Linked DNA regions of Coturnix japonica. The protein of the gene in region 1 interacts with the protein of each later gene in a biochemical or structural test. Links are inferred from orthologs where the notes say so. Each region holds a gene or a part of one and is shown in the gene's direction. Other genes may lie near its edges. The genes, in order: ATF4, CREBBP, EP300 and CREBZF.

Region 1 (7,495 bases):
GGCTATGCAGCACCACAAGTGCCTCCCCCCCTTGATAGTCCCCGAGCGTCATATACAAGCCAGCTAGACTGTGCAGAGATGTTACTATGGAAACATTTACGTCTTCCCTTTGTGTATTTAATAACAGCATATGGCATGTTTATCTCCTGTATATTTGCTGATAGAAGAAAAAGTCTTTTCCTTAGCAGCATTAGCTTCTAAAATGAAAGACAGACAGAAAGAAGGACAGGCAAGCAGACAGTAAAAACAGCAAGCTCATACACTGACCTTCCATTTTAATGAAGAAGAAGGGTGAATGGAGGAGAATCAGTTTACCTCCTGGTGCTTTCTGCAGTGCTGCATATAACTGAGCATTTTGTCACTCCCCAACAAGGTCATTTTGGCCTCTATCATGCTGTGAGCTCTGCATGAGCATTTCCTCTTGCCTGCAGCTGGTCCCTCACTTCTGCATAGGGATGGATCCAACTTATCACAGGAGCCTATGGCAGGAAAATAACATCAGCAGAGCTAAAACTGTTAACGTGTCATCAGGAGTTTATTGACCATGAACGCACATTAATCTTCATTCAGAAGCCATCTTTTTGTGCTGCAAATTCAGTTTCCTTCAGAGCTATCAGGCTTCTCTCCACACATCTAAGCCACAAACATATTCTGCAGCACTGAAAAGGGAACATTTGAGTTAGCTAGTACCTATTAGCCCTTCGCTTAGAAAACATTTGCTATTTTATTTGCACAAAAAATTCCTAAGGAATGGTTACTTAAGCTTGAAGAATTATTATCCAGCTCAGTCACAAAACTCACTCCTCAAAGGAGAAAACTGTGATGTAATACCTGCAAAAGCAGAGACGTATTTTGTAATGGATTGAGACATGTCTCATTAAATTGTGTAACAATAATTCTGCAGTCTCTTTCAGGAAACAGGGAGAAATAACACTGTTACTAAATGTCTGGCTTTTTGTTACCTCATTTCACTTCCTGAATTGAAGATGATGAAAAAAAACCAAAACAAAACCCAAAACTGTTTGGTGCTCAAAATGTAGACAAATGTGCACATTTGCAAAATAAAAAGGGAAGCAGGCAGCTAGGAAACAGGCAGATCTGGGTTAAGTTCCTCATGACATGCATCATTTTTGCTTGCATAATTCTTACTCACACATACCCAGAGTCCTTTCTTCAAAAATATGTAATTACCATTTCAAGAGAAGCATTTCTGTTTATTTTGCTACAGTTACAGTGGTACAAACACCTTTTTTCTTTGCAGTTGGATGTGGGGGATGTGAGAGCCCTCCCTCGACCAGCCAAGACACAGAGATGCTGCCTCTCATCCACCCAAGCCAATCACCCACCAGGCTTCTTCAGTAGCTGCTGCATCCATCCTCTGAATTTTGCTTTGAAGCAAGATCTGCCTGCTCATTGGTGCACGTATCAGAGGAGTCATCTGAGATCACTCAGTTGCTATCGTGTTTTCTGATATTGGAGGGCATTTTTCTCTGCTGCCTCTTCCATCTTAGTGAGCCATTAAAAATCGATGCTTGATTCTAGAAAAGCAAAAATAAAACAAACACATTCACACACCCACAGAGAAACAAAAAAGCCACAAAACACCACAGCACATTGGAAAAGCTGTATTTTTACTTTCAGCAGCCAATGTTCAGTTTACAGAGCTGGAATGACATACATACCCCAATTTGTTGCAGTGATGGTGACATCCTGCTGCTAAAAGTAGAAACCTGGCCATGACTGTCCTCCCTGGCCATGCCCATCCTCTGGGATTATCAGTGGAGCTGTTTAATGAGTTCCAGGCAGGTATACTTGTGCAAACTGAGCCAAGGCCATGGCTGTACACAAATACTAACAAGCCCTAAATGGAAAACAAGGGAGCCTTTTGCAGTGGAGCCAAGAGGAGTTTATTGACAGGGTGATAATGTTTTGAGCAAGCAAGGATCCATGGAGGGGGGTTGGAGCTTGATGATCCTTCCAACCTAAGTCATTCTATAATTAATCTTCAGAGCTGATGGTGTGTTGTAGGGCTGGTAATGTGGGAAAGCAACCAAAGGCCAGGTAGTGAAAGAAAACATGGGTAGCAACCTTCCCAGCTCACCTTCCTCACTCAGAGCTGCATATGGTGCTTTAGTGTCCTCAGAGAATCACGAGGGGACTGAAAACATCTGTTCCCCATGGGTTTCATACAGGGCTAGGTGAGGACCAGAGGAGCTGCTATAAACATACAGGGCCAGACGTGATGGAGCAGGGCTGCCTTCTCATTTGGCTGATTTAGTTCAGATAAAACATAATGCAAACCTGCTTGAAAACCTTCCCAAGGTGAGGCTGTTTACTAGGGCCGTGAGGCTGTGTAGATGACCCACTAATGCTCTCCTCCATTGAGTAATGGCTGCTCTTGCATCTCCTCACAAACCACCCCAGGCCAATGTTACAGCTCAGCTACAAAGCTAGCAGGGTGTCAGGGACACAAACACACAGCCCTATCTCTGTGGGGCAAGTAGCAGGCAGGGAGTTTTCCACTTATCTGAGGGAGCAGTGACTCTCCTCAGCAAAGTTCTGCCCTCAACTCTGCTGGACGTCGTCTGGAGGGGCTGTTAAGAACGCACAGGGAGAGCGGACAGGACTTCGTGTGGAGGGCATAAAGAGCTGTCAGTAACAAAGGAGGCGTGGTGCTTCAAAGAGAACACGCCACGGAAATGTGAAGCAGAGAATAGAACCAGCGCCACCGCCATTTTACGGCTCCTCGTTCTCCGTGCCTCTCACCATCTCTCCCTTTTCGGGCGTCAGCCAATGGCGGCTCAGCGCTCACACGGTTACCACGCCACCAGCCAATCGGCGCGCAGAGCTCACTGGCTGTGTTGGCGGGCAGGAGCAGCAGCCCCCCCACATCCCCCTGCGCTCCGCGGCGGGCGGGAGGAGTGTCCTCAGCTGCTGTATCACGTGGCCTCCCATCTCGGCTGGGCGGTGTTTGCGCGGAGGAACACCATATAGTCCCTCTGTCTAGGAGCCCACGATGGAGGGAAAAGTTATTGCTGACAGCTTTTTTGGTTAATCTTTAGCAGGATGGAACGAGAGCGGCCCAGAAAGTTGAAGGTCTACAGGCTGAAGGGTGCTGACGAGAGGCGGGTGACGAAGAGCGGAAGGACACATCAGGCCGGATCTCGTTTTGATTAGCGTGAAGGTATATAAAAGCGGAGCGCGCGCGCTGCCACCTCATTGTGTGCCCTTGGCTGAGCTGACAGGTTGTAACTGTGACCGTGCGTAGCACCTCTCCGCGCGGCGCTGACCGGAGCACCAACCAACCCCCCCCCCAGCCGCCATGGCTCTCTAAGGGCGGCAGGGCCAGCGGCGGCATCGGCCAGTGCAGCGGGCGCAGCAGCAGCGGCGGCGGCCTCGGCACATCCCCGGCATCTGCAACCATGGCGTGAGTAGCGCGTGTGGGGAGTGCGCCTTGTGTGACAGCCACCCCCTGCTTCATAAAGCGGGGTTCTGGGGTGCGAAACGGACGCCCCATAGGAAAAGCTGTCTGGTTAATAGGGTGGGGGCTGGAAACCTACTTGAGGGTGACGGAAATGGCAGGAAATGACACTTTTAAGAGGAAAAATGAGCCATAATACCCTGTATTTTAGAGAAGCCCACATCCTGAAAGCTCAGGGCTGTTCTATTTTGTAAGGCTTTTGTGAGAATATTAGCTCCCTAGACGGTTGTCTTAGTAGTATAGGGGATTGTCTTTATAGAGGCGTTCCCACAGCGGATGGAGGAGTTAAACGGGGCTTCCAACGAGCGGGCATTAAGATAATCCCTTAATGCTACGGCGCTGCTGGCCGGGGGAGGAGGAGGGTTGTGGGGGGAGGGGGGGGGAATGGTGTCGAACCCAGCCTGATAGAAGGGTGTAAGGCTGTCGTGGTATTTATCATCCGAATCCACCTGGTCCATAAGTCAGCCTAGCACCAAAAGGTGCTCTGTCGTTCTATCGTCCTGTCACCTTCCCCTCCCCCCCACCCCTCCACGTTGATGGCGTTCCCATCGACACGGGGTGAAAACGTGTCACGGCACAAAATGGCGGCGGGGCCGGGTGGGGAGCGGTAGGCGGCAGATCGCGAAATGGCTGCGGCGTGGGCGTGACGTGAGTCAGGGCGCGGTGGGCGGGGCCTCGGCGGGGCGTGGGGCTGGCAATGCCGTGCTGGGCAATGGAGATGCGAATAGAAAAGCTTTTATGAAAGCAAACAAATAAAAAGCAAGAGTTTGAGGCAAACAGCCCTGAAAATGCTGCAGTCGTACAAGTCTGGTGCAACAGCACTCTCCCTGAGGCTGCGTTTTGTTGTGAAGGCTGTTTTTCCAGTAGAACAAGCACTGATGCATGCGAAAAATGTTTGTCTTACAGGTTTTTCAAGGCACCGCACAGCAGCACTGCTGTAGTCAACAAAAAGGCCCTCTCCTTGTCTACATCCTTTGACGTCAAAGCGCTAAAACCTGACCAAGATGAGCCTCTTGAACAACGAGATGCTGTTGGGGGAGTCCTCCCCCCTCAGCCAGCCGTGTTTGGTGGCTGAGGAAGGTCTGGGACTCCTCGATGACTACCTGGAGGTGGCCGAGCCCCTCGGTTCGCATGGGTTCTCCAGCGACAAGGCTAAGGCAGTCTCCTCCAATTGGCTCACTGTGGACAGTTTAGGCAACACCATAGATAGCAGCCAGGGTAAGGCACTAATTCATGTGCAGGAAGTAACACCAAAGGTGATGGCACATAATAAATAATGTAATCCTCCTGTTCAAAGATAAATTGCACGAGTTCTCTAAATGGAAAGGTAACATCACGTATGTGTCTTCTGGCCTGGGAAGCATCCATACAACACTGATTATACACAATAGCAAATGGCTCTGTAGTCGACCAGCCTGTGGAAAAATGACACTTGCATTGCCCTTTTAATAACATGCCAACTATTAAGAGTAGCCTTCCCTGGAAGAGGTCACAAGAAACAAGTGTGGTGGTGTGTTTCAAATAGGCCTGAATTCTTAGAGAGCTAAGACTAAGAGGGATGGAATGTCAGCAGCTGACAGATACATAGTATCATGCAGACTTCCCCAGTTCATAGTAGGGGGAAGGGGTCTGGTAGTCGATCTTTTTACCATTAAAAAGAATGGGGGAAGATATAACTATTTCTGGTATAACTGGTATAGAATCTCTGTGTTGGCTCATCGAAAAATATACTGTTTTTCTCCTTGTTTAGAGGATGCCTTCTCTGGCATGGAGTGGATGGTGGAGAAGATGGATCTGAAGGAATTTGATTTTGATGCCCTGTTAGGTATGGAACATCTGGAAGCCACCGTCTCACCAGACGACCTGATGGCCACGTTGGAAGACACGTGTGATCTCCTGTTTAACCCTACCACCCAGGAATTTCACAACAAAGAACCTCCACTCATACCTGATCTAATCACCAATCTCCCCGAATCTCCAATTGGAGTAGATCCCATGGCCCCATTAGGCTCCCTGTGGCCTTTTCCCCTCTCCCCAGGGTCTCTGACTTCTGTTCCAGACCATTCATTTAGTTTAGAACTAGGTAGTGAAGTGGATGTTCTGGAAGGTGAAAGGAAACAGGAGGCCCCCACCTTTCTGGTAGTGATCACGAAGTCAGAGAAAGAGGAGGAGAACCATTCTGATGATAGTGGAATATGCATGAGCCCAGACTCTTATTTGGGAACGCCCCAGCACAGTCCTACCAATTCACTTGGATCCCCTAATGACAACCAGTTCCCTGCAGATGCCACCCGTGGCTCTCTGCGTTCTAAACCATATGACCACCCTGCTGAGAAGGTAGTGTCAGCAAAGGTGAAAGGAGAAAAGAAAATAGATAAGAAATTGAAAAAGATGGAGCAAAATAAGACTGCTGCCACACGTTACCGGCAAAAGAAGAGGGCAGAACAGGAGGCTCTGTCAGGGGAGTGCAGAGATTTGGAACAGAAAAATCAGGCCCTGAAAGAGAAAGCAGATTCCCTGAGTAAGGAAATCCAGTACTTGAAAGATCTGATTGAAGAGGTGAGGAAGGCCAAAGTCAAAAGAGCTAGAGTCCCTGAGTAGGGTAGTCAGTAGTGTTTGTGTGCATGTATATATGCTTGCTGCTTAAGCTGTGTGGTGTCTAATAAATTATTTTATAGTAAACTTGCAATTTTGTGTGGTAACTGAGTATCTGTAAAATAAGGGTTTATACCATGTCGTTTGGGGCTTCAACCAGCTGGAATGTGCTGCTCCACCCAAGTGTGCAAATAGCATTTACTGTTAATGTGGTTCAAGTGATACAGTACATGTTACAGCTCATGTGTAGCTGAGAATACTTGCAGATATCTAGTAAAATGGAGGGGATCAAGTGGAGATAGTCCCAGATCTTGAATAGCAAAAGCAAAATCATAAAGGTTCAGCCTTACAAGGAGCCATGTAAGTATGTTTATAAATATGGTTTGGAGAAGTCTCTTGTGGGAGTTACTGGGTTTTGACAAGCTGATGGCTTCAAGCAGTTCCCCAGGGTGTTAATTCCTTCTCTCTTGCACTGACTTGTCCAATCATACTGCACAAGCATCCACATGGAGCTGGTGTGTCTGCAGCCTTTCAGGGGCAGCCAACAAGCTGATCTTATGCTGGTGCCCCTTGCAATGATGCTGTTTCCATACTTAGTAACTTAGTTAAGACTTTGCACTGGCTGGAGATTAGGGCTGGCTCTTCCTCTGCATGTTCACTTAGCATTTATAAGAGCATTGGATTAAGAGATGGGAGAAAGCATCTGAGCATTAGAGAGCCTCCTGGCTGATCTCACATTGGCAGGCTGCAGGAGCCTCTTCCTTTTCTCACAGGCTCAGAACAAATGTGGTCCAACAATCCCTATGGTTTACGTGCATGGTGACACCATTCCCAGAAATAGATTTTGGTGCACAAAATAGAGCCCCCAGAGGAAGCCAGTTTTCCTGTATATTTGGAAACAGTGGAATTTTCCCAGTCTGCGCCCTATAAAAACTCAGTATTAATAGCTACCTTCCTCTTTCTCATGCATTTAGAGAGACCCAGGTGCTCTTACTTCTCTTTGCAAACGAGAAGAGGAAAACGCTGCTGCTGAGGACTCCACCGCTTACCCCTGTGAATAACCAAAGGGGCAAAAATAACCTCCATTTGCAGTGCTGGAGTATGAAATGATGGCAAATGCTTCCAAAGAGCCCTGGCGGAAAGTCCAGAACAGCAGCAAGGACAGGATGTCCTTCAGGAGAGGTGTCTTCCTCAGCACTGTGCTGGTGGCAGGGAAATGTTGGCCATGTATTGTGGTGACAGAACCACCATGTTAATTTATATAGGGCAGAGGATCTCCAAAGCACAGGATGCCTGTTGTGAACTTGACTCCTCTGCATCACCACTGCAGTGCCTGGACAACTGGAAAAGAACATCCTCTTTCCCCTCCATTAATTACAAGTTAGTGGAGGAGATAAATAAGCTTTCTTGCATGCAAAT
Region 2 (7,483 bases), on another chromosome or scaffold:
TGGATGGCACCTTGGAAGCAGGGCTTGCAACCTGCAGATATTTTCTTCTACAGAAGATGAAGGAAGCAGATTTTGGGATGTGAATTCCTTGGGCAGAGCCTGACGGAGGGTTTGCAGTGCAAACATCAGAGCCAGAAAGAAGTTCCATCGCATGGAGCTGCTCCACAGTTGGTGGTGTCTATGCAGGTAGATGTGCTTGGGGAAGACGGGCAGCACCTCCTTCAGCAGCTGGGAGGAGGGGAGATGGGGGATGCTGGGCTTTCTGTGTGTTGGGACAGATCCATTGGGCAGCAAACACAGCAGGTAAGGCAACAGAATGCTGAGATGTAACACTGCCAGGAATAACGGGCTGTTTCATTCTGAGAACTGTCCTGATACCACAGCAATTACAAGTTACAGAGCTGAGCTCCTCAGCAGTTACTCAGACACTGTTAATTGTTTGGCTCTAAGGATCTCGGGTCACCTGCTGTAGCAGTGATACTTCCCTATTTTGGCTATGGGCAGGAAGATGGGATCGCAGGCACTGTGTCTTCAAGCAGCTTAGTTTTGGAGACGGGAAGTCTGGAAATGGGCTGCAGCAGCGCAGAGTTTATTATGCAGTTTCTCTTGGAACTAGTCCCTGAATAAAGGGGATATCCATGAAGCACCTGCTCCCAAACACCACCTGTGAAGTCCTCAGGAATCCGTGCTTCATTCTCAGCTGTAGGAGCAGGGAGCAGGGAGCCACAACTGGTAGGACTGGGTGTGAGTTTGCAGTGTCAGGGCTCATCCGTGTGCTCCGAAGAACCTTTCTTCCCCTGAGTCCTCCTATACTATTTGGGCAGCCTGCTGGGCAAGTAATCATAGCCCTATTTCTAGGGGTAGCTGTGGTTAAGGGTCAAGGCCTTTCATGTACGCCATGCTATTGTGATCCCATGGCAGGAGGCAGTTGGGGCCACCCTAAGCAGACCTGAACACAGCAGCAATAGGATCGTCTCCCTCCTCTGCTGCCCTGGGATATGGGATTCCCTCCCTCCAAAGCACCTCCTTACGCTCCCCAGGACTCTCAGCCTGGCAGGCACATTGATACACAAGCTGTGCTTATAGTTGTGGTGGTGGTAGTGATGGTGGTGCCCCTTTGCAGCAGCTGGACATCCAGATCTATAGTACTGGTACAACACCAGCATGTAGCCCATAGCCAGGCAGCACAAACACCTTCCTGCAGGTAAGCTGGGTGTCCACACACATCTGTCCCCACTAAGTCCCCATCCTGACTTTATGCATGGACAGGCACCATGTAAATAAATACGGAATTTGCAAGTAAATGTAATGAAACGCATGGAAATACAGAAGTAAATGTGATGAATAGGAGCTGAGCCGTAAACAAAAAGGTATCATTATAGATCTCCTTTAAACCAATGCAGAGGTGTTGATTGATCTGGCCCAGCTCATGGATTTCATCAGCATCCTCAGCGCTGTATCCGTGCCCTCCTTCATTCTGTCCTCCACTGCTGTGTGGTCTTTGGGGACACGTCGATATATTGATGCTGAAAACAGCCCCGAGCATCTAGTTTGGGTACGAGGCGCTGTGCTGCCTTGGCATGGCACGTCACCGGGGCTTATAGGACCTGCTTCTCAGGTTGGGAACCAGTATGGAAATGCGCTGAAGCACATGAGCTCTGGTCCTACAAACCTGTTTTGTCCAGGGATGTCTGTCTAGACAGAATGCAGGTGTTTCTGAAGCCAGGAGCCTCCTGGCGCCGTGGCTGCGGTGCCTGAGAGCAGCCCTTGTGTATGGCTGTGATGGCAGAGGGCTGAGCACCTTGGATCTGCAGGAAGGAACCCCTGTGTATGGCCATGGCCTTGTGCAGGGTCTCAGTGCAGGGTGCTGAGTGCAGGCCTGGGGTCACCACCTGGAGTGGGTGCTCTGACAGAGAACCAGGGGCTGCCCCAGGGGGTCACAGATCAGTGGGAGGCACAGGGGGAGGATGGGTTGAAGATAAGCCAAGGGGAGCCGGGCACTGCAGGGGGACAACGAGATGTGCAGCACGTGGGGCTGAGCTGACGGTATGAGGGACTGAGGGGGGAGAACGGAGGGACTGCGGGAACGGGACTGACGGACACAGCCAGGGGCGGCAGCGGCGGAGCCGAACGACACCGGGTCACAGCGAGGGACGCCGAGAGGAGCCCATAGGAACAGAGGGGAGCCCATAGGAGCCCATAGGAACAGAGGGGAGCCCATAGGAGCCCATAGGAACAGAGGGGAGCCCATAGGAACCCATAGGAACCCATAGGACCCCATAGGAACCCATAGGAACCCATAGGAGCCCATAGGAACCCATAGGAGCCCATAGGAGCCCATAGGAGCCCATAGGAGCCCATAGGAGCCCATAGGAGCCCATAGGAACCCATAGGAGCCGGGAGGAGCCCATAGGAGCCCATAGGAACCCATAGGAGCCCATAGGAGCCCATAGGAGCCCATAGGAACCGAGGCCGTGGGCCCCGCGGACGCGGCGGATCAAGTGAGGACGATCTCGGCTCTTTCCGGCTCCGCTCGCTCCTTTCCGGCGGGGGCGGGGGGCGGTCCCGGTACGCGGTGACGCAGCGCGCAGTGCCCGCCCCGTTCCCGCCCCCACGGGCTCTGGAAAAGAGAAGAGAAAAAAAAACTTTTTTTTTTAATTGAGGAATCAACAGCCGCCATCTTGTCGCGGAGCCGGAGCGCGGCGCGAGCGGAGCGGGGCCGGGCCGGGCCGGGCCGGGGCAGCGGGGTCCGCCCGCGGGGACACGGGGCAGCCGCGCGGAGCGCCGCCAACGGGCAGCGGGGCTCGGGGCGGCGGGGCAGCGCCGGCCGGGGCCGAACGGGCGCCGCCAGCGGGACCGGGAGCGGCGGCGGCGGGCTCATTGTTTTGGGGCGTTTTTTGTGGTTTTTGGGTTTTTTTGGTTTTTTTTTGTTTTTTTTTCCTGATTTTTTTTTTAATTTTTTTTTTTAATTTTTTTTTCCCCCCTGCCCTCCTTCCCCCACCCCTCTCTCTCTCACCCCCCTCCACCCCCGCCCTCCTCGGCCTCGGTTCGCCCCGCTGGGGTGAGGGGCGGCGGGCGGGGGCCGAGGCCGAGCGTTCCCCCGCACCCCCCCCCCTCCAACCCCCCGGCGCGGAGGGGAGGGGACGGAGCTCGGAGCGGCGGAGCCGGGGGGGCCGGCTATGCTCCCCGAGTGAGCGCCGGACCCGCCATCCGGGCACCGCGGCGGCAGGGCGGGGGAGCGGCCGGGAGGAGCCGGCAGGGAGGGGGCGCTTGGGCTCTTCCCCCCAGCCCGCCCCGAGCCCTCCTCCCTGCGGCCTGCTGCGGCGGCGGCCCCGGCCATGGGGGAGCGGAGGGGGCCGCCGCCGGCCGGGCACTGAGCGGCGCTGTTGTTCGGTTTCCTCCTCCTTCCCTTCTCGCCGAGCTCCGGGAGCGCCCGAGCGCCTCGGACGGGCCGCGAGCGGTTAAAGCATGGCGGAGAACTTACTGGACGGGCCGCCCAACCCCAAGCGAGCCAAGCTCAACTCGCCGGGCTTCTCCGCCAGCGATAGCACAGGTGAGGCCGCGGGGCGAGGACGGCGGCGAAGGGGGGGGGTGCGGGCGGGGCCGGGTGCGGGCGGGACCGGGGAGCGCTGGGCACCGAGCGGCGGGGCCGGGTTGAGGCCTGAACCGCGATCGTGAGGCCGGGCCGGAGCTTGGGAGGACGATCCGTGCCGGCTGTACGACACCGAGGCGTCTCCGGGCCCGGCCTGCATTACACATTACACCTCCCAGCCGCGCGGTGCTGCGTAGCCGGAAAGTTTAGTGCAGGCCTCCGGGTCGCGTTGCGTGCGAAAGTTTGGCGTCAGCGCCGTGGAACAGCGAGAAGCGCTTCGGTAACGCGGTGCTTGTCCGTCACTAGCGGGGATAAGGAGGAGAGGAACAGAGGAACAGAGGAACCCCGGGCAGCGAGCACACTCGGGTTGGAAAGAAGTGTTTTCTCGTCGCCCGCTCGTAGCCGTGATTATTTCATGGGGTTTCCCTTTGTCTCGTGGTGCTGGCGCTGTCGATGGGACTCGTACAGCCCGGTGCTTTATGGCTGTGTCGGTACTCGGGACTTGCCCGCTGTGTGTAATGGTGGATCCCAACTCCGACACGGGGTGGGTGTTTTGCACCCGAGCGGTTTAACTCCGCTCTGGCTGTTGTCATCTGTGCCAGCACAGCGTCATGTTGGACATTGGTTCCTCTGCTCCCCCGAGGCACCGACCCCGCTCACAGCACCTTGCTGTACCGCTGCCATCTACGTGTGTCCGAGGAGTTTGACACCAACATGTGCACGAGGTGCAGGAGCAGAGCACATAACACACCGGGCTGGTTTGATGTAGCAGTCTGTAGCGTTATGGTCATCCCCCCCATGCTTTTTCTCTTCCATTTCATACTTAGAGTGATAGCTGTGTATGCACCTGGGGTTTTATGATGTTGGTTCTTTTCTCTTTTTCTTTAAACACCTTGAAATTAACACCACAACTGAACGTGCTGCCTCGGCCGGTGGCTGTAGAGCTGCTGGAGCTGCTGGGCCAACGCCAGAAATAAGGAAATAAAGCAGCATTCGGGGTCAGCCCCGCTGGACCGTGAAGATCTGTGAGATAACTCCCAGCTCTCTGGTGCAGGTTATTCACTTTCTGTTCCATCCAGGTGTTCCTGGAAGTCACGACTCCAGTCCAGCCCTGCTGGTTATATCCACAGCAATGCACCGCGTTCAGATCTTGTGCCTGTAACTTCACATGCAGCAATTCCCCTCTTGTTGGGGTCTGCTTGCAGTGGAGGTTCTGCTCTCTGCCGTTACCTGCTCACAGAACAACACGTGCAGCAGCTGTGCTGTGTTATTGCAGCGCTGTCTGAGAACGCGGGATTGGAAAGATCCCGCAGTTGGTCCTTCTGCAATGAGAAAACATGTGGGACGACTTAGAAATCCGACACTTCCATCCTAATTTGGTTTACACTCTCAAGAATTTTTGCTTTGTAAATCCCCCCTTTTTAACATATGTTCTGTTTTCCATCTGTCTTCTCAGATGTCTGAGATGCAGAGAGAACCTAATGCTTGTATTTGGAACGCTGGCTTCAATAGGGATGTCTCAACAAATACTATTGCGTAGAGTCGGGGTGTGAATCAGAAGGGATCTGCAACTTTATTATCAGTGCTAAATCAGCCACTGAGAGCTCGGAATCTCAATCTTTAACCCGGACACACACGCTCTTCAAAATCTTCACTGAGAAGTGAAGTCTTAACCATTATTTGGGTAGGTCTGTTGCCATTGATTTGCATCTGTGTTCATATCCACGTACGTAATTGCTTCTCTGAGGGTATCCCTGCAGCTGTGGGAGCTCGCTGGGAATGTTGTGCTGTCCATAGGAACTCCAATGTCACACCATTGCAGGCTGCAGCCCTGCCTGTGTGCTGTCCCTATTGCCCTGTCCCTATGTGATGGGTGCTGCAGTGGGTGTTGCCGTGCAGGTGACCTGACTTTTGTGTCGTAGTTTTATCTAATGGGGCAAAGAAAGCTGGAAATCTCACATGTCCATCTGTGCTGTGGTGGCTGCAATGCTGTTTCCTAAGTTTCACGGACTCCTTAAGGAAGGTGTTAATGAGAGGGATTCAGAACAGCCTCTGCTCGCTGCAATCAGTGCTTTGCAGTGAGGCAGATTGGAGCAGATGCCGGTTGTGTTCAGTCGCTTGTAGTTGGAAGCTTTAAGAGTCAGATGTATTCTAGAAAGAAAAGTTTCACGTGGCTGCGTGCTGTTGGTTCCTTCTGTGCATTTGGTGTGTTTTGTGATGTGTGCTTTGTGCCTCATTGCAATTGCTGTCAGGCTGCTCTCCCTCATCGTTTGGTCCCAGAAGTAGGCAGGGAAAAAGGGCATGAAAGGAAACATCACTGCTGCAGATCATGAAGGAGATGCAAAAGTTGCTTTTTTACTATATTTTTGCCCAGCTTTTAATTCTTTTTGTTTCTTAACTCCACTTGTAAGTGCACGTTAATCCTCGCTGTTCTGTTCCTGGTAGATAGACCTGCTGTGTGACAGCCCTGCACACAGGTGAGCGCTTCCATGCGCTGATAGAAGGCCGGAGCTCTCCCTGCCGGTGCCATCACTCACACTGAGGAGGATGGAGCCATTTAAAATGTGCAGCACCTCATGTCGACCCGTGTCTTTGATAAGCAGCCGGTAGGCAGGGAATGGCACAGCCACTGTCGAGATAACGTGCATCATGGGGAGCTGTCGTGCTGTGCAGTGAGGGGGGCACAGCAGTGGATCCGTCATGGTGTGGGATGGCTGAGGGCATCCCCAATGCTGACGGTGTTTTGTGCTGCTTTAAGCAAGTGCCTGCTGCTTATGACTGCCTTCTCACGTGATTTTGCTTTAAATGGTCACCTCAAACTTCAACATCTTCTCAGCTGTTAAATAGGATGCCGGGAAAGATGCACGCGTTTGTGGTAGGATGAAAAAGCGAGACCTCAATTCCATTAATATGCTTTGAGAACCCTAAAATATTGAATCTTCACCAGGGTGATTTTCTGAAAGCAAAGCCAGCTCCTGCAGCTCCTGCCTGCAGCTCAGCTCCTGCAGCAAGGCAGCTCGATGAGCCGGGCTGTGCTGCGCAGCCTGAGAGCTGCGTGTGCTGCCATGGCTCACGTGCTGCTGTTGGTGCTACTGGGGAGGATTTGAAGCTGCTGGTGAGAGCTGCCATAGCGGCACTGTCAAAACAGTGGAGACGCCTTGGGAAGCAATTAAGAGGAGGAACAGTTACAGAGAGGCTGTGCAGGACTGGAGGGAAGCACAGTGGATCCATCGTTTCCCATCCGATGCTTCCAGAACGGCCCACGATGTGTTTCTCCTGCCACGCAGCTTTTGTGGTTTCATTTTTCTTTTCTGTGTGTTCTTTTTCTCCTCTGTTGTCCGGGAAGAGATAAAGCACCCACTGACCTCAATGTGCTTCTTTGTATTTTCTTCTGTATGTTAATTCTGGTACCAGGGACATTTAATGTGCTCTCACGTATTACTTTGTGTTAATTGCGGAACATTCGAGTGATTGATGACCTTTTTTTTCCCCACATAAAAGCAGATCTGACAGAAGCCAGCGTTGTGTTTTTGGGGACCTTTAACACATTGTATCTTCATTGTGAACAGGAAAAGATGACGACGATTTGAACAAGTACAACCAAAGACAGACTTGGGTTTCTGACTCAGTGATACACAGCTCGCAGGTGGGAAGAGGCAAGGAATTGAACTCAGTTATCAACTTCTACTGTTGTCTTTTTCAGGGCAGAGCAGAACGTCCCATGTCAGGCAGCTGTTTGGTGCTGCTCACATTGGATGTGGGTTAGGGGATGCAGCCACGTGCATTTTGTCCTGTCCCAAGGAGTCAGGCTGGCGTCACCCTGCTGTCAGGAGCAGTTCCGAAGCTGAGTGCTGGTGGAGGAGCCATAGAGGCTTAGCAGAGGGCAGATTA
Region 3 (6,705 bases), about 750 kb from region 1:
TAATCCCATCTGGTAGTGGTTGGAGAGGAAGAGGGGTAGAAAACAGAGGGTCCCAGAGCTGCTGGCTTGAGTCTAGGAACCAGCCAGCTGCAGATGTGCTGGGATTTGGGATGGTGCCTGTTTTGCTGTTCTATGCCTGAAATGTGCTGGATGAAAAGAAAAATTTTGTGTGGTGCCCTGATGATTGTCAGTTCCTGTGTTTGCCCACAAACCTCCCTGCCAGCCCTGCAGAGGGGAAGCTTCCTCCCTCCTGAGTTCGAATGTGCATGTTGAAGGATGTTTTCCAAGCTTTGCTGAGTGTGACCTGTTGCCTTATTTTAACGTCTCCTTCCCTTTCCTGGATTGTATTCCTCTCCCAACAGGCAGAGTATTATCACTTGCTAGCTGAGAAGATCTATAAGATTCAGAAGGAGCTGGAAGAAAAGCGAAGAACAAGGTTGCAGAAGCAAAACATGATACCAAGTGCTCCAGGCATGCCACAAGCTCCTGTGAATCAAGGACCTAACATGGGTCAGCCTCAGCCAGGGATGTCTGCAAGTAAGAACAGTTGGGTTAGTTGTTGCTTGGTACGGGTCAAATATATAGTGTTTTTCTGGTGTGCTGGTGAGCATTTTGGCAGTATTGTTTCATTGATACCTTGTTTACCCATCGTTAAACTGAACTTATTCATCTCTGTTTAGGAGTACTTGCAACATCTTTGTTTTGCTTATTTGTTAATTAATGACCATAGATTATCTAAAATTATTTGGTCTTGTGAGTATACTGAAGTATCCTAACCCTGTGTGCTAGATGAGAGGAGATAGAGGACATTGTAGAAATTCAGTCTCATTAATCTCACTTCTAGAATTGACTGGTAGTGTCTGAAGTTAAAACACGTTTTAATAGTATTTAACTGTCTGGTGTTTGAAATGATTATTGTTGCTGCTAAGCAGGAAGTCTGATAATCAAATTGTTTTCTACAAAATGTATTACTTATGCCTTTGAAAGTTCAGGTAGTGCTTGCCCTGTGCCATGTTTGTTTGTCGTGTTTGATGGTTTGGTTTGTTTTTTTGAACAAATAATTCTTATAGTGTGCTGTGACAACCAGGTTTCATTATTTTTCCCTATGTAGTTGTCTTGTGTTTCACAGTAGTTCTGTTAATGGACACTTATAATGCTAAACAGGTTATTACTATTATATTTCCTTATAACTAGGCATTTGCATGTTGAAGTGACTTTGGAAAGGAGCTAATGATCAAAGTTGTAATGCTACTGAGGACTGTTATCTTTTCACAGCATTAGGAAGTTATAGGACACAGTAGGCTTTGCCAGGTAACAGGTGAAAACAAGTAACACTAGTTCTTGCACTTGATATTTCTCTTCCATTCATTCGTTCCTGCATGGTTTTTAGATACTTCACAGTTAAAAACTGAGCTCTGAAGATGTCTAATCAGAGTAGATGTATAGCAGTCAGTGACAATATAATAAATTGTCCTAAGAACATGGAGTCAAAGTCAGAATTAGTCAGTTGAACAGGTAAGAATCAGGGGTTATTTTTCTTATGCTGCACGATGATCCAGTAGTTCCAGTGATATGCTATAAGAAGCTTAATCTGAGGGGTTTTTCTCCTTTTTGAATATGAATGTATATTGGTAATTCCAGTCTGGATCTTTTCATACTTGAACTTAGAACTGGGTTTACCAATATGCATTACCAAAAAGCAGGAAAGGCCTTTAAGATTGGTACTATGAATTTATTTGTTGTAACTTCCTCTAGATCAGGAGTAGATGTGATATTTTGGTTGTTTATCCCATATGCTAGAAGAACCAAACTTTGGAGATTTGATAAAGTACATCAAACCAGCCCATTTTTATAGTGTTTTCAATCAGGAGGTGCAGTAATAGCGTAGAGTAGTTTGCATAAATTCCTGTGGTCTGGAATGTTCACAAGCTGCTGAGTTTTTCATTGTACCTCAATAACATATTTCATATTTGTCCACATTTTAAAATCTGTCTGCAAGTCAGAATATCTTTAGTTAACTGGATATCAATTGGGTTTTACCTCATACTTGAGGGACTCTTAAGTATGCTTAGTTTAAAATTACTGGACAGTGTCCATGCTTGTTTTTTTTAACTCTTTTTTACAGGAAGATTTTCACTAGAATGATTAAAAAACTGGTGGTTTCTAAATGCCATAATCTTATTCCAGAATCTTTTTTTACAGATGGTCCTATAGCTGACCCCACACTGATACGTGCTAATGTGCCAAATCAGATGATGAATCGCATGCAGGCACAGCCAGGTAAATTTTATATGAAAATTTGCTACTGTGATTGTGAAAGAATTGTGGAGTTAGGTAGCTCTTGCTGAAGTGTTGTAGCCTTCGTTTCACCTGCTGTATTCCCACTTGTCCTGTACAGCCTGCTGTAGGGAGCCTTCTTTGCAGGGGGGTTGGTCTTGATGATCACTTGAGGTCCCTTCCAACCCCTATAATTCTTTATTCTGTGAGACCAAGAAAATAGATCTGTGCTTTATATACATATATGCGTGTGTGTATATAAATATTTGTGTGCGTTTCTGTGCACAGTGTTGTTTCATTTTCTTGGAGATGTGAGCTGCTTATTACTGCTTGCTTAGTTAAATGAGGAACTTAATTTTTTTTAAATTATTTTTAAGTTTCTGTGTGAACATGAGATGGTAGACCCGATCAGCTTAGGGTGAGGGCATGTCCAAAGCAGAGGGAGGATGATGAAAATTGCTGCTCTGGGGTAGAACCTTGGTTGTATTTTCAAGAAGTATTGCAGCCAATATAAGGAGCACTTAAATGAAGATTCACAGTCAGGATTTGCAATAAATTAACTTCTAGTCATTAAGATAATGCAAGCTATCACAAATTGTATGTGGGATTAAGTCCTTCAGGGGAAAAAAAGCCAATACGTATTCTGAAATAGCTTCAGTGCTTAGTACTTAAAATTGTTCTGTTAACTGACCAATAGGAGAAGAAGGTATTTCCATTACGTGCTTTCCATGGCATGACTGGAAATTTTTTCTTTAAAAAAAAAAAAAAAAAGAAAAAAAAGAAACTGACAGCATTCTTCAAATGTTGAATGGCGCCCAAAGGAGAATTCAGGCCTCTGATCATAAGTGGTTTTTTTTTTGTTGTTTGTTTGTTTGTTTTTGTCACAAATGTGCAGGAATGAATCAGTTTGGCCATATGAACATGCAGCTGTCACCAATGGGACCCCGGCAAACTCCTCCTCTTCAGCACCCTGGACAGCTAAGCCAGGCCGGGGCCATGAACCAGGTCAGTGTGCTTCCCTTCATCTTGGGTATTCAGCTCATGGGTTTCTGCTGTTGTGCCTTCCTTAAAATAAGCAAACAAAAACAAATACAATTTAAACATTATTCCTGTGTTCTGTAGGCACTTTGGCTTCTTATTTCTGCAGTGCCACAGAAGATGTGTCTGGTATGTGGTCAGCCTTGGTGATTTAATTAAAAATACATGTAATTTCCTTCACTGAAAACTAGGTTAAAGTGGAGTTTTGGGCTATTGCTCTCCTGAAGCAAGGAACAAATTGAAGTCACAGTCTGAAATCAGTATCCCTTTGGTTTGCAGATGTCATAATTTCTAACTTTTGAGAGTTATAGTAGACCTTCCATACTGTATCCTATGCATAAGTATCAATCAATCACACAATTTCTGAGGTGAGATAACTGTTTTTATAACATACGACAAAAGTATATGAAATAAGTTCCTTTCTTTTCCAACAGATGGGATTTCCTTCACGTATGCAACAACCAGGAGTTGGCCAACCTTCTGGTCAAAATCAGTTTCTGCAGCAGAACCCATTCCCTGCTTCTTCCCCAGGAATGAATGCAGCGAGCATGCCTATGACACAAACTAGCAATCAGACACCAGTTTCTCAAGTAAGTTTCCGATTTTTGGAGGTTGTGTTAGTGGGCTCTGTCATATGATGTTTTTTTATGTTCAAGTTTGTAATAATGGAGAATAATTTGTTTTATCAAGATGCTATTGGAGCTGTAACCATCTGAATTCATTTATTGAGGCTCAGCATTTTCCTGGCTATTGTGCTGGTAGTGGTATGGGTAAAATGTTGGCTTGTTCTCAGGCTTAAGTTTAAGTGACAGAGAATTATTTAAGTTTGTATCTGTGAAGGAAAGAGCTTGTTGCTCGTATATCTTGCTCATATAGTAAAGAACAGCAAAGCAGTAGAGACTGAGAAATTAAAAGATGCTGGAAGAACAAGGCTTAAAAAGGCATGTCCAACCACAACCATCAAATGTATTTTGCTGCCCTTTGGGGAATAGGATGGTTGTCACTACTAAAGATTGGAACTTCCAGTCTAGCAGTTTCTTTTCTGTCCTTTCCCTCTCCCTTTTCAGTGAGAACCTTTCAGGCCAGGAAGAAGTAGGGAACGTCAGTTTGCTTCTCGTTGATGCTTCTTCCTAGTTTGCAGGCAAGATTATTGTGAAGTGACAGCTTTTTTTTCTTGACCAGTACATCTTTTTGTAATCTCATAGCGCAGTTGCAGCTATATGTATTTCTGATGATAAATTCAGTTTCTAGTCTTGTGGGTGGGGGCATGGGCACACTGTATTTGAATCCATTCTTTCCACTGTCATGTATCGCCGCATATTCAGGGTGTACATATCTGCATTTTTTGAAAGAAATGTTTTGCAAACTGCAGGTGTAAGTGTGTCATTCTTTGAATGTATCGATGAGTATTATTTACTCTGAAACTTCTGTTTTAGAGCTGAGTATACTACAAACAGCTATATGTTCAAGTGATACAAAATGAAAAGCCTGTTTCTCCTTTTGAAATATATATATATTTTTAAGTTTGTCACTTTTTGAAAGAGTATGCCAGTAACTGTGGGAAAGCAGCCGTTTTAACATCTTTCTATTTGAAGTCATTGCAGATGTGTACTTGTTTTCCCACAGGCACAAATGAACAGCTCTTCCTGTCCTGTGAATTCTCCTGCCATGGCTCCAGGCTCTCAAGGGAGCCATATTCACTGCCCACCTCTTCCACAGCCTCCCATGCACCGAAATTCTCCTTCTCCAGTACCAAGTCGAACCCCAACACCTCACCATACACCCCCAGGCTTGGGATCACAGCAACAGCAGGCGGCAGCAGCTGCCACCACTGTCCCCACCCCTACTCCTCAGGCAATACCACCTGGACCACAGTCACAAACTATGCATCCCCCTCAGAGGCAGACTCCAACACCTCCGCAGGCACAGCTGCCTCCACAAGTCCAGCCTCCAGTTCCAGTTGCCCCCTCTGCAGAGCAGCAGCAGCAACCGTTGTCACAGCAGAGTACAACAGCGTCAGTTCCCACACCAACAGCACCACTGCAACCTCAGCACCCCACAACACCTGTAAGTAAATATTTTAATTGAACAAATGGGCAAATGTAAGGTTTAGGATCTGGTATTTCCACAGAGGAAGTAATTCTTTTCATGCATGTTGAGAAATGCACAGTGAAATATGCATGGGAGGTCATTAGTTATGTCTGCATATGCATAGTGATGGCATAGAATAGGGAAACAATATGAAATTATATACTAGACCTTCCAGTGAATGTCTGCTGTGCTTTCTTCTATAACTAGACTTGTGTTAGCAGTATGTACTTCAGGTTAAGCAAGTGGAAGTACCAAAGTGAATTTGAACTTGATGGAAATAAGGTTATAGGTAAAAGGTAGATCAGAGCATAGAAAAATAATAGGTTAATTAGAAGTCTGTCTGTAATGTGTTTTGGTTTTTTTTGTTTTGTCTTTTTACTCCTTAGCTGTCACAACCAGCTGTAAGCATTGATGGGCAGGTGTCCAACCCCCCATCCACCAGCAGCACAGAAGTGAGCTCACAGCAGACTGCAGCAGAGCAGCAGCAGCCACCTTTGCAGGAAGTGAAAATGGAGATAAAAACAGATGAAGGGGAACCAGAACAAACAGAGCTGCAGATGGAGGAGAAATCTGAGGTGAGCTGTCGGTTTGTTGTTGGAGAGAATAACTGCTGTTGTTAGCTCCTTGGTCTCCATGCAAGCTTGTCCTTTTAGACTTCAGTTTGTATGCTACCTACTGCTGTGGTTTTGTCACCTCCCTTACCTCTTCCTAAAGAAGGGTCTCTGTTTTGTGGTAAAATTATGGTAGAAACCAGTGACCACAATAAGGACTGTGATAACATGGTTGGAACTGTGAAGTTTTTTGGTAAATGCTAATGTAAGAAGGTGCTCAAGATGCTCATTTGAATGTTATTGACAGTTTTACTCACTGGAGTAGTGGCTGTGTATGTGACAGGCTGTTTTAGTGGGTTGTGACAGTTTGTTGTGAGGGCAGCTGGGACCATGACTCCTGGCAGCTGAACTGCAGGAGAGACAGTCAGAACTGCCTGAGCAGCAAGATCTATACCTCTTTGCCTGCTTGCAGCTCAGAACTGGTTAGCAACCCTTCACTGCCGCTGCTGTGGTGTTAAAGGTATTTTCTGTCATATCTGATCAGGTTTTAGGCAAATTACAATTGCAATATAGACAGCCTTATCCTAGAAAAGAGCAGTGGACGAGTGCTATGTAGGTTGATAGGACAGAAACTTGGTTGAATGACTCTACAGGCAGCTGTGACAGGGTCTAATCTGCTTTCCAGGTTAAAGTAGAACCAGCAGTGGAAGAATGTAAACCAGACCCCATGGAACAAGAAGAGAAGAAA
Region 4 (7,424 bases), about 120 Mb from region 1:
TCCTTGGAAGCACAAACAGCATTTGTTTACTAAGAACTACTCCCAGTTACTTCCACAATGTCTGGATGAAGGCAGGATTCTGGAGTGACCCATTCAGACCTGCATTGCCATGGACACAAGCCCCATTCTAGGAGTGTCAACAAACAGGCTACAGAAGGAAAACACCTGGCAACAGAATAGATTTGTCCTGCTGAGCCCCTCTCTCTGTTGTTTTTCCACTGGATAGTCTCAGCCTTCTGGTTTTTTCCCTCTTATGGCTGAATGTTGTGGCAGGAGCCAAAGCAGCTGCAGCAGTGGAAGGTGAGTACCCACAAGTCACAGCTTGGCATCTTGTCCAGACTTGGCAGATTTGGTTTCATTTTTGCTGGATGTTGTTTTTCATCTCTCCTTTACTCCTCTCTCCGAGGAATCTTCCTTATGCCTTTACCACCAGCCTCGAAGCACAGGAGGTCACAGAGCCTGATTATCAGCAGGCTATTTCACACGCTGTGTCATTGCAGGTCTGCATCTCAAAGTTGTCCTTTGGTTTCAGATAAACTTTTGGTACATGTGGGTAGCACTCCATGTGATTAGGCACTAATAATGGTGGTGGTGCTGCTGTAATATAAATACCTTTAGATGAGAAACAAGACTCAGCAAATCAGCACCAACACTCAAATAAGGAACCTTCCCTCCAGGCAACCATCTTTATTATTGTTCATTCAGTAATTATTACCATTTATTCATACATCTCTAAGCACAGTGTAGGGGTATTAATATTATTAATGAGTAATATACCATTAAAACTATAAAATAATCAATTTGAGGATTGAACTGACTTTATATGCTCTACTTACATTTATAATTCCAGATCTGCAGGAGAGAAAAAAAAAACAAAGGCAGAGGAAAAGGATTGATGAGGAATTATTTGCAGCTTTATCATCTACTGGTTACCTCAATGTAACAGTATTTCTTGTAGCTCTAACAAGTAGTGCTTTGAGAAGGAATAATTACCAAAGCTTGTAATTGGCAAATGAATAGGCTTGTGTAAATACCAAGCTTACGGTTCTTTATGGGGTCTGGTATCCTTCTATTCACTCTGCTTGTCTTTGAACTGGGGTCTGCAGAGCTAGGAAAGGCTGCAGGGCTGCTCTTGGGATTCCCTGTCCATCAGCTTAGTGCTGAGCTGGAAACACTTCAAACCTGCTGAAGGTCACGAAGAGAAGTGGTCTCTATGAAATGTTGTTTTGTCTTTGTGTGTGACAGTGTGTCCACTGCCGAAGAGGATGGAGAGACGGTGGTGGCCAGCCACACAAGCGATGAGGAGATAGGCAAATATATAGAAGATCTGACAAAAGGCATACAGACACCCTGCGGGAGCCCTGAGGAGAAGAGAGAGAAGGCTCTGCTACGGGCACGCCTGGAAGAGCAGCATCGCCTTATCTGTATCCTGAAGAAAAAAACAGATGATGCACGCAAACGCTGCAAGAGCCTGGAGCAGCTCAACGTGGAACTGGAGAAACTGAGGCTAGAAGATGCTGTGAAACTAAAAAACCAGACCGAGCGGATTCAGTACTTGGAGGATTTGGCCAACAACCAGGAGAAAATGATCTCCTCCAAGGATGAGCACGAGAAACAGAACACGGAGCTGAAGGAGGAAAACCAGTGTCTGCAGCAGGAGAACGAAACCCTCTCCAGCCATGCAGCAGAGGACAAGGAGGATGAAATGCTCCATCTTGCTGCCCAGGCCAGAGAGCTCTTGCAGCAGCTGGATGTTCTACATGAGAAATGTGCTTGTGAGAGATCCAGAGCCCAGCAGCTAGAAAAGGAGCTCCTGGAAGCTCAGAGCCAGCAAGCACACACTTGTACCTTGGAGGTTGACTCGCTAAGACAACAGCTGCAGCGCCTACAGGAGGAGCACCAACAAATGGTGGAACAGCTGGAGCATGGGGAAAGCCAGCAGAAGGCTCACGGAGCTGAGCTGCAGGCCAAGCTGGAGAGGGCAAACGAGGAGAAACAGCAGCTACTGAACCTGGCCACAGAAAGGGGCAAAGCTCTGCAAGAAAAGCAGCAGGAAATTCTGCAGCTGGGGAGGAAGCTGGAGATGGCAGAAAGAGCCAAATGGAGAGCAGAGAAGCACATCGTCAAAGAAGTGGCAGCAAACTATGATCTGAAGATCCAAGGGCTCCAGCAAGAGCTGAAGAGCAGCCAGCAGGCGTACAGCGAGCTCTCACTGCAGTTCGACGCTTACAAAAAGCACAGCATGGATTTACTGGCCAAAGAAAAAGCATTGAATATCAAACTCCGTCACTTTAAGGCATAACATCAGCTTTCTGCACGGTTCATAGCGGTTGCCTCTACTGTACCATAGCACTGATTTCTGTTCATGCAGCCGTCTTCTAGCAGATGTACTTTGTAACGTACTTACATGCTTAAATCCTACTGCAGGAACTGGTCTGGAGCCTTTTATTTCTTGGTTTGAAACTAAATTAGAGGTTAAGATTAAGGTTAGGAAGGAATTCTTTCCTCACAGGGTGGTGAGGCCTCAGAGAGCCCCACCTTCTGGAGATGCTCAAGGCCATGTTGGATGGGCTCCAGGCAGCCTGAGCTGGTGTGGGGCACCCATCCCACGGCAGGGGTTAGGAGTGGATGTGCTTTAAGGCCCGTCCCACCGCAGCCATTAAACTCCCTCACACCGACCCTTTATCCCTCACACAGCCTCTTTTCCCGCCCTGAGCCGTTCTTCTCCCCCTCCCCCCCTGGATCACACAGAATCACAGAATGACCCGGGTTGGAAGGGACCTCAAGGATCATGTAGTTCCAACCCCCTGCCTGGCAGGGCCACCAAACATATGCCTTTACTAAATCAGGTTGCCCAGGGCCCCGTCCAACCTGGTCTTGAACACCTCCAAGGACGGGGCATCCACAACCTCCCTGGGCAGCCTGTTCCAGGGCCTAACCACTCTCCTAGTGAAGAACTTCCCCCTAACATCCAACCTAAATCTTCCCTCTTTTAACTTAAAACCATTTCCCCGTGTCCTGCTATTGTCAGCCCTTTTGAAGAGTTTACTCCCCTCCTGGTTGTAAGTTCCCTTCAGGTATTGAAAGGCTGCAATGAGGTCACCCCGCAACCTTCTCTTCTCCAGGCTGAACAAACCCAACTCCCTCAGCCTGTCCTCATAGGGGAGGTGCTCCAGCCCCCTGATCATCTTCCTGTCCCTCCTCTGGACCCTTTCCAAAATCTCCATGTCTTTTTTGTACTGAGGGCTCCACACCTGGACACAGTATGAGAGATGGGGCCTCACAAGAGCAGAGAGGGACGATCACCTCCCTATCCCTGCTGACCACCCCTCTCCTGTTGGAGCCCAAGGATCCCATTTGCTTTCCCCTCACACGTCCGCCGTTTCCCGGCACACACCGCGGCACCGCCGCTCCACTCCGCTCTCCCTCCCCCGTCCACTGCCGCCATGCGGCACAGCCTCACCCAGCTGCTGGCGGCCTCGGGCGGTTCGAGCCCTTCGGGAGCCGCGTGGCCTCTCACCGGAGCGGGGCAGACCCCGAGAGGGCGGGATGGCGGCGGGGAAGGTGATCCGAGCGCTGGACGGCCCAAACAACAGCAACAGGAGAAAGAGGCGGCCGAAGGTCCGCCGGAGGTTTGGGAACAAGAAGACTGGTTCCCCGGGCTGGAGCTGGGAGACCTGCTGGAGGCGGCCCGGCCGGAATGGGACGCGGAGCTGAGCGGTTGTTTGTGCGGAGAAGCGGGGCGCGGCCGCGGGGGGCGGCGGAGCGGCGGGGCCGGCAGCAGGTTGAAGGCGGCGGCGGCGGCGAGACTGAACCGGCTGAAGAAGAAGCAGTACGTGCTGGGGCTGGAGAGCCGCCTGCAGGGCCTGGCTGCCGAGAACCGGCAGCTGCGGGACCGCAACCGAGGCCTCAGCCGCCGCCTGCGGGAGCTGGAGCGGGAGAGCGGCTACCTGCGGGCCGTGCTGGCCAACCAAAGCGCGTTGGGGCAGCTCCTGAGCCGCTTGGCCGGGACACGGGCCGGCGGGCTGCGCCTGGGCACCAGCCTCTTCAGGGACGGCCGCCTCCAGCAGCAACAACAACAACAACAACAGCCCCTCCGGGCCGGCGGAGACAGCGGAGACCACGACTACGCGCTGCCCAACGCGCGGCCGCCCGGCTCCGAGCAGCCGCCGGGAGCGGAGCCCGAGGAGGAGGAATGGGCGGCACCCGGCGGGATCTGCCTGCACGTGGAGCGGGATCAGGTGTCGGTGGAGTTCTGCTCCATCTGCGCTCGGAGAGCGGCAGCCTCCTTTAAAACGTAGGGTCCGCTACTTGCCGCGTGTACCTGCGGGCTGCTCGACCCGCTGGGGGTGCGGAGGAAAGAAGGCAAAAGTAACAGCGGTGCTGGGGTGGTGATGGGGGAGATGAGGAGGAGGGGAAACTGTCGCCTTCGGGTGATAGAAATCCGAACGCCGGGTGACCGAGGGAAGGCCCGTAAGCCGAGCAGAGCGTGGTGTTGATGCGGAGCTGCCGGTTCGGTTCGGTTCTTTAGGCACGGAACAGACGGTGCCGACCTGAGGCCGGACGGTGTGTCCGTTCTTCCAGTAGAAATAACGCTGACCTGGCCGGGTTTGTATCAGTTCGCTTATCCCAGCTGAAAAAAAAAATGCTTGCTTAGAAAACCAAAAACCTTCATTAAGACATCATCACCGGACGGCAAAAAAGAAAGAAAGCATGCGTATAAAATTGTGCTGCCTCTTGGTTATACGTTACTATTAAAACCTCTCTGACAGTTTCTCTTTTAGGTGCTTGTCCTGCCAGGCTCCGTTGTGTAGGGGTTAAAGAGCAGTCGTTTCCCACCTCGCAACCTGGTAAGGATCAATATATTCCCATAATGCGGTATCAGACAGCTTGTTTTGCTTGTGCCGGTCTCATTCATGCGGTGACTGGCCCAGGAGATGGTATCTCTGGTCCCTGCCCTGCTGTGATGTTTCTAATTCCTAACTCAGTTGTGGAAAACATCATTCTGAGTAGCTGCTTTCTGTTCTAAATCAACATGCACACAGTAGCCGGTCAGTGAGCTGCGTTTTGAATTAAAAGTAAATGCTTTCTGCCATTTGAAATAGGAATTTTCTATTGAGCTACAAGCTGATGAGCTGGAAAAGGGAAAATATTACTAATGATACGACGTTTACAGTCTTTTGCCCCAAAAGAACAAGTAAATTGCTTTTAAATGAAAAACGTGACCTGGTGGTTTAAAGTACTGTCTAGTGTTAGTGATGCACAGTCCCTTTAGGATGCCCTTTCCTGCCTTCCTTTAATTCATGATGCAGAGCTTTTCCTGTTTGAACAGAACCCGAACACTGCTGACATCTGTACAGTGGAACCTTAATGTAGAGAAATCACTTTGTTCCATAGAACTCCAGTGAGAGCTGTGGGTCACAAAGTAACTCAGTGCCTCTCCCAAGTGATCTCAGTGCCCCCCCTGCATTCAAACTCCCTTGTTACTTCAGAGTAGCTTTATCTTTTAAAGGAACTTCACGTGTGTGCATGTGCTTCATTTTACTGTAGAGATGTTGATTTAACTCGCTCCTTCAGTATCCAGAAATCTGTAACATCATACAATTTCAGCACAGTTTTGGAGATGAGCAAATAATTAATTGCAAAGATTCTTCCTGATTAACTGAGATAGGAGGAAAAATGCTGATGAACAGCAGCGTGTGTTCTATGGTAGGAATATTTCTCCCCATCACCCAGGATGAGCAGGTTGTTCTTTCAGTTGTGTCATAATGTTGAGGTGGTTTTTCTGTACGTCAGCTGGGGGAAGAAGGATCGCGATAAAGGTGTTAATAAATGTAAAGTGAGGTTTCACAAAGAAGAGATTTCCTTCAGTTGGTCTCATTTCTGAACTTCCTGAAGAAAAAGAATTCTATGGAGTGTTTTGGAAGTCTTGTTTCTTAAAGCCTTAAATTTGGTATTTAAGGCTAAGGGGGAGGGTTTTCTCCCTGCAATTGGAACTGTTGGCACTATACCTTATCAAGTACTTCCTTGGCGTGAAGAACATGATTTTTCTTTGTGAAACGTCACTGTGTGATAAAGTCTACGTGTATTTAGCATCCTTGTTTTTCTTTATGCTAAAGTGGATTCAGCTGTGTTGGGGCAGAAGAGACGGGACCAGCTGCTGGCCACATTTCCTGCTTTGTTTTAAAAGGTAGTATATAAGAAATGAGAATAAAGAGGTAAACAGGGCTTTTGCTGTCTTTGTTTAAACAAACACAAAGGTTGAATGCTGGGATTCATTAACTGTTACCCGATATGCTTTTTTAGAAGGCAGTATCCTATCAAGCAGGTTTTCTTCCTGTGTTTTCACAATTCCATCTGTTCAGGGTACACTGCCAGCACAAGAGAGACCTCAGACGTGTGCAGTACTGCGGTGGCATCGGCAGGATTGTTCCAAGGTTCAGTCTTTAACTGTGTGACATGCAGTAGGTGGTGGGTTATGGCAGGACCTTCTCCAGATGTGTGCTGACTGATTTAGATTGAGCTCAGGTTGAATCTGCCCGGCTCAGGCTTTGCAACCATGCTTCAGTTTGAATTTTAGCGTGCGTGAGGAGAAGGGAGACACTAATGCAGCAAGTATGGGATGTTACATTGGCAATTCTGCAGTCACTTCAGTGCAGAATTTTAAGTTAAATATGCATTATTTCATTTTGCATCACTTCAAACCGATAGGAGTCAGGGATCTCTGTTATGCAGCTGCACATCGCTCCAGCCGTGAAACCTCCTGTGAGCTGTGTCTGAGAGTGGCTGATGTTCTGGTGTGCACAGTGATGTAGACCTGTGCAAGAACAAGGTCAAGTCTAAGAAAGTAAGTGGCTGCAGGCATATCTAGTGCCTACTGAATCATACTTAAACCAAATAGAGGGGAGGAGGTCATTTGAAACTAACCAACTGTACCATCTGTATGGTGTATTATTAATGTAGCTTTTTGAAGTGGAAGCCTTGAAATGATTTTAACTCAATACTTGAAAATATATTGTAAATGTTTCTTTGTAATGATGTGCCATCCAGATGAGAATACGATACTGTAATAAAATCAGACTTGTTGATCTTTCAGTTGACGGGCTCAAATGTTTTCTTCATCTTTATCTTCTCACTGGTACCTTGCTTTAATTGAGTGCTTCATTACACAAAATGGGAATCAGAAGAGGGAAGATTGTGCTGCGTGGGTAATCTGATGGAACACAAGATGAAATGGATCAGCGCATCCCGAAGGAAGGCTCTTGCTCACTTGTCTTTCAAGTTAGTTTGGGGTAAAGAAGAAACAAAGGCACTATTGCTTGAACCAAAGATAGAACTGTTCTCCAGCAATAACTGTGTTTAGTATTTCACAGCTGTTTCCCTTTGTTAGTGTGAATATGTTTGATCACTAAGCCATGGAGGAG

What was found.
Region 2: the proteins of ATF4 (region 1) and CREBBP form a complex in vitro, tested with the Homo sapiens proteins (2 studies listed by BioGRID). The link is inferred for Coturnix japonica from reciprocal best matches to the Homo sapiens genes ATF4 and CREBBP.
Region 3: the proteins of ATF4 (region 1) and EP300 form a complex in vitro, tested with the Homo sapiens proteins (3 studies listed by BioGRID). The link is inferred for Coturnix japonica from reciprocal best matches to the Homo sapiens genes ATF4 and EP300.
Region 4: the proteins of ATF4 (region 1) and CREBZF form a complex in vitro, tested with the Homo sapiens proteins (2 studies listed by IntAct, with this or other methods). The link is inferred for Coturnix japonica from reciprocal best matches to the Homo sapiens genes ATF4 and CREBZF.

What each region holds. Positions count from the first base shown.
Region 1 is NC_029516.1:46,169,848-46,177,342, reverse strand, and holds ATF4 (cyclic AMP-dependent transcription factor ATF-4), read left to right. Parts: upstream 1-3,223; 5' UTR 3,224-3,427; intron 3,428-4,387; 5' UTR 4,388-4,485; coding exon 4,486-4,699; intron 4,700-5,231; coding exon 5,232-6,082; 3' UTR 6,083-6,170; downstream 6,171-7,495. UniProt on the Homo sapiens protein: Transcription factor that binds the cAMP response element (CRE) (consensus: 5'-GTGACGT[AC][AG]-3') and displays two biological functions, as regulator of metabolic and redox processes under normal cellular conditions, and as master transcription factor during integrated stress response (ISR).
Region 2 is NC_029529.1:11,070,125-11,077,607, reverse strand, and holds the start of CREBBP (CREB-binding protein), read left to right. Parts: upstream 1-3,071; 5' UTR 3,072-3,468; coding exon 3,469-3,553; intron 3,554-7,483. UniProt on the Homo sapiens protein: Acetylates histones, giving a specific tag for transcriptional activation. Mediates acetylation of histone H3 at 'Lys-18' and 'Lys-27' (H3K18ac and H3K27ac, respectively).
Region 3 is NC_029516.1:45,418,921-45,425,625, reverse strand, and holds part of EP300 (histone acetyltransferase p300), read left to right. Parts: intron 1-362; coding exon 363-537; intron 538-2,202; coding exon 2,203-2,280; intron 2,281-3,172; coding exon 3,173-3,282; intron 3,283-3,749; coding exon 3,750-3,905; intron 3,906-4,941; coding exon 4,942-5,382; intron 5,383-5,792; coding exon 5,793-5,981; intron 5,982-6,642; coding exon 6,643-6,705. UniProt on the Homo sapiens protein: Functions as a histone acetyltransferase and regulates transcription via chromatin remodeling. Acetylates all four core histones in nucleosomes. Histone acetylation gives an epigenetic tag for transcriptional activation.
Region 4 is NC_029516.1:170,212,632-170,220,055, reverse strand, and holds CREBZF (CREB/ATF bZIP transcription factor), read left to right. Parts: upstream 1-3,320; 5' UTR 3,321-3,446; coding exon 3,447-4,297; intron 4,298-4,772; coding exon 4,773-4,821; 3' UTR 4,822-7,095; downstream 7,096-7,424. Other genes in the region: CCDC89 (coiled-coil domain-containing protein 89), read left to right, coding at 254-300, 1,246-2,302.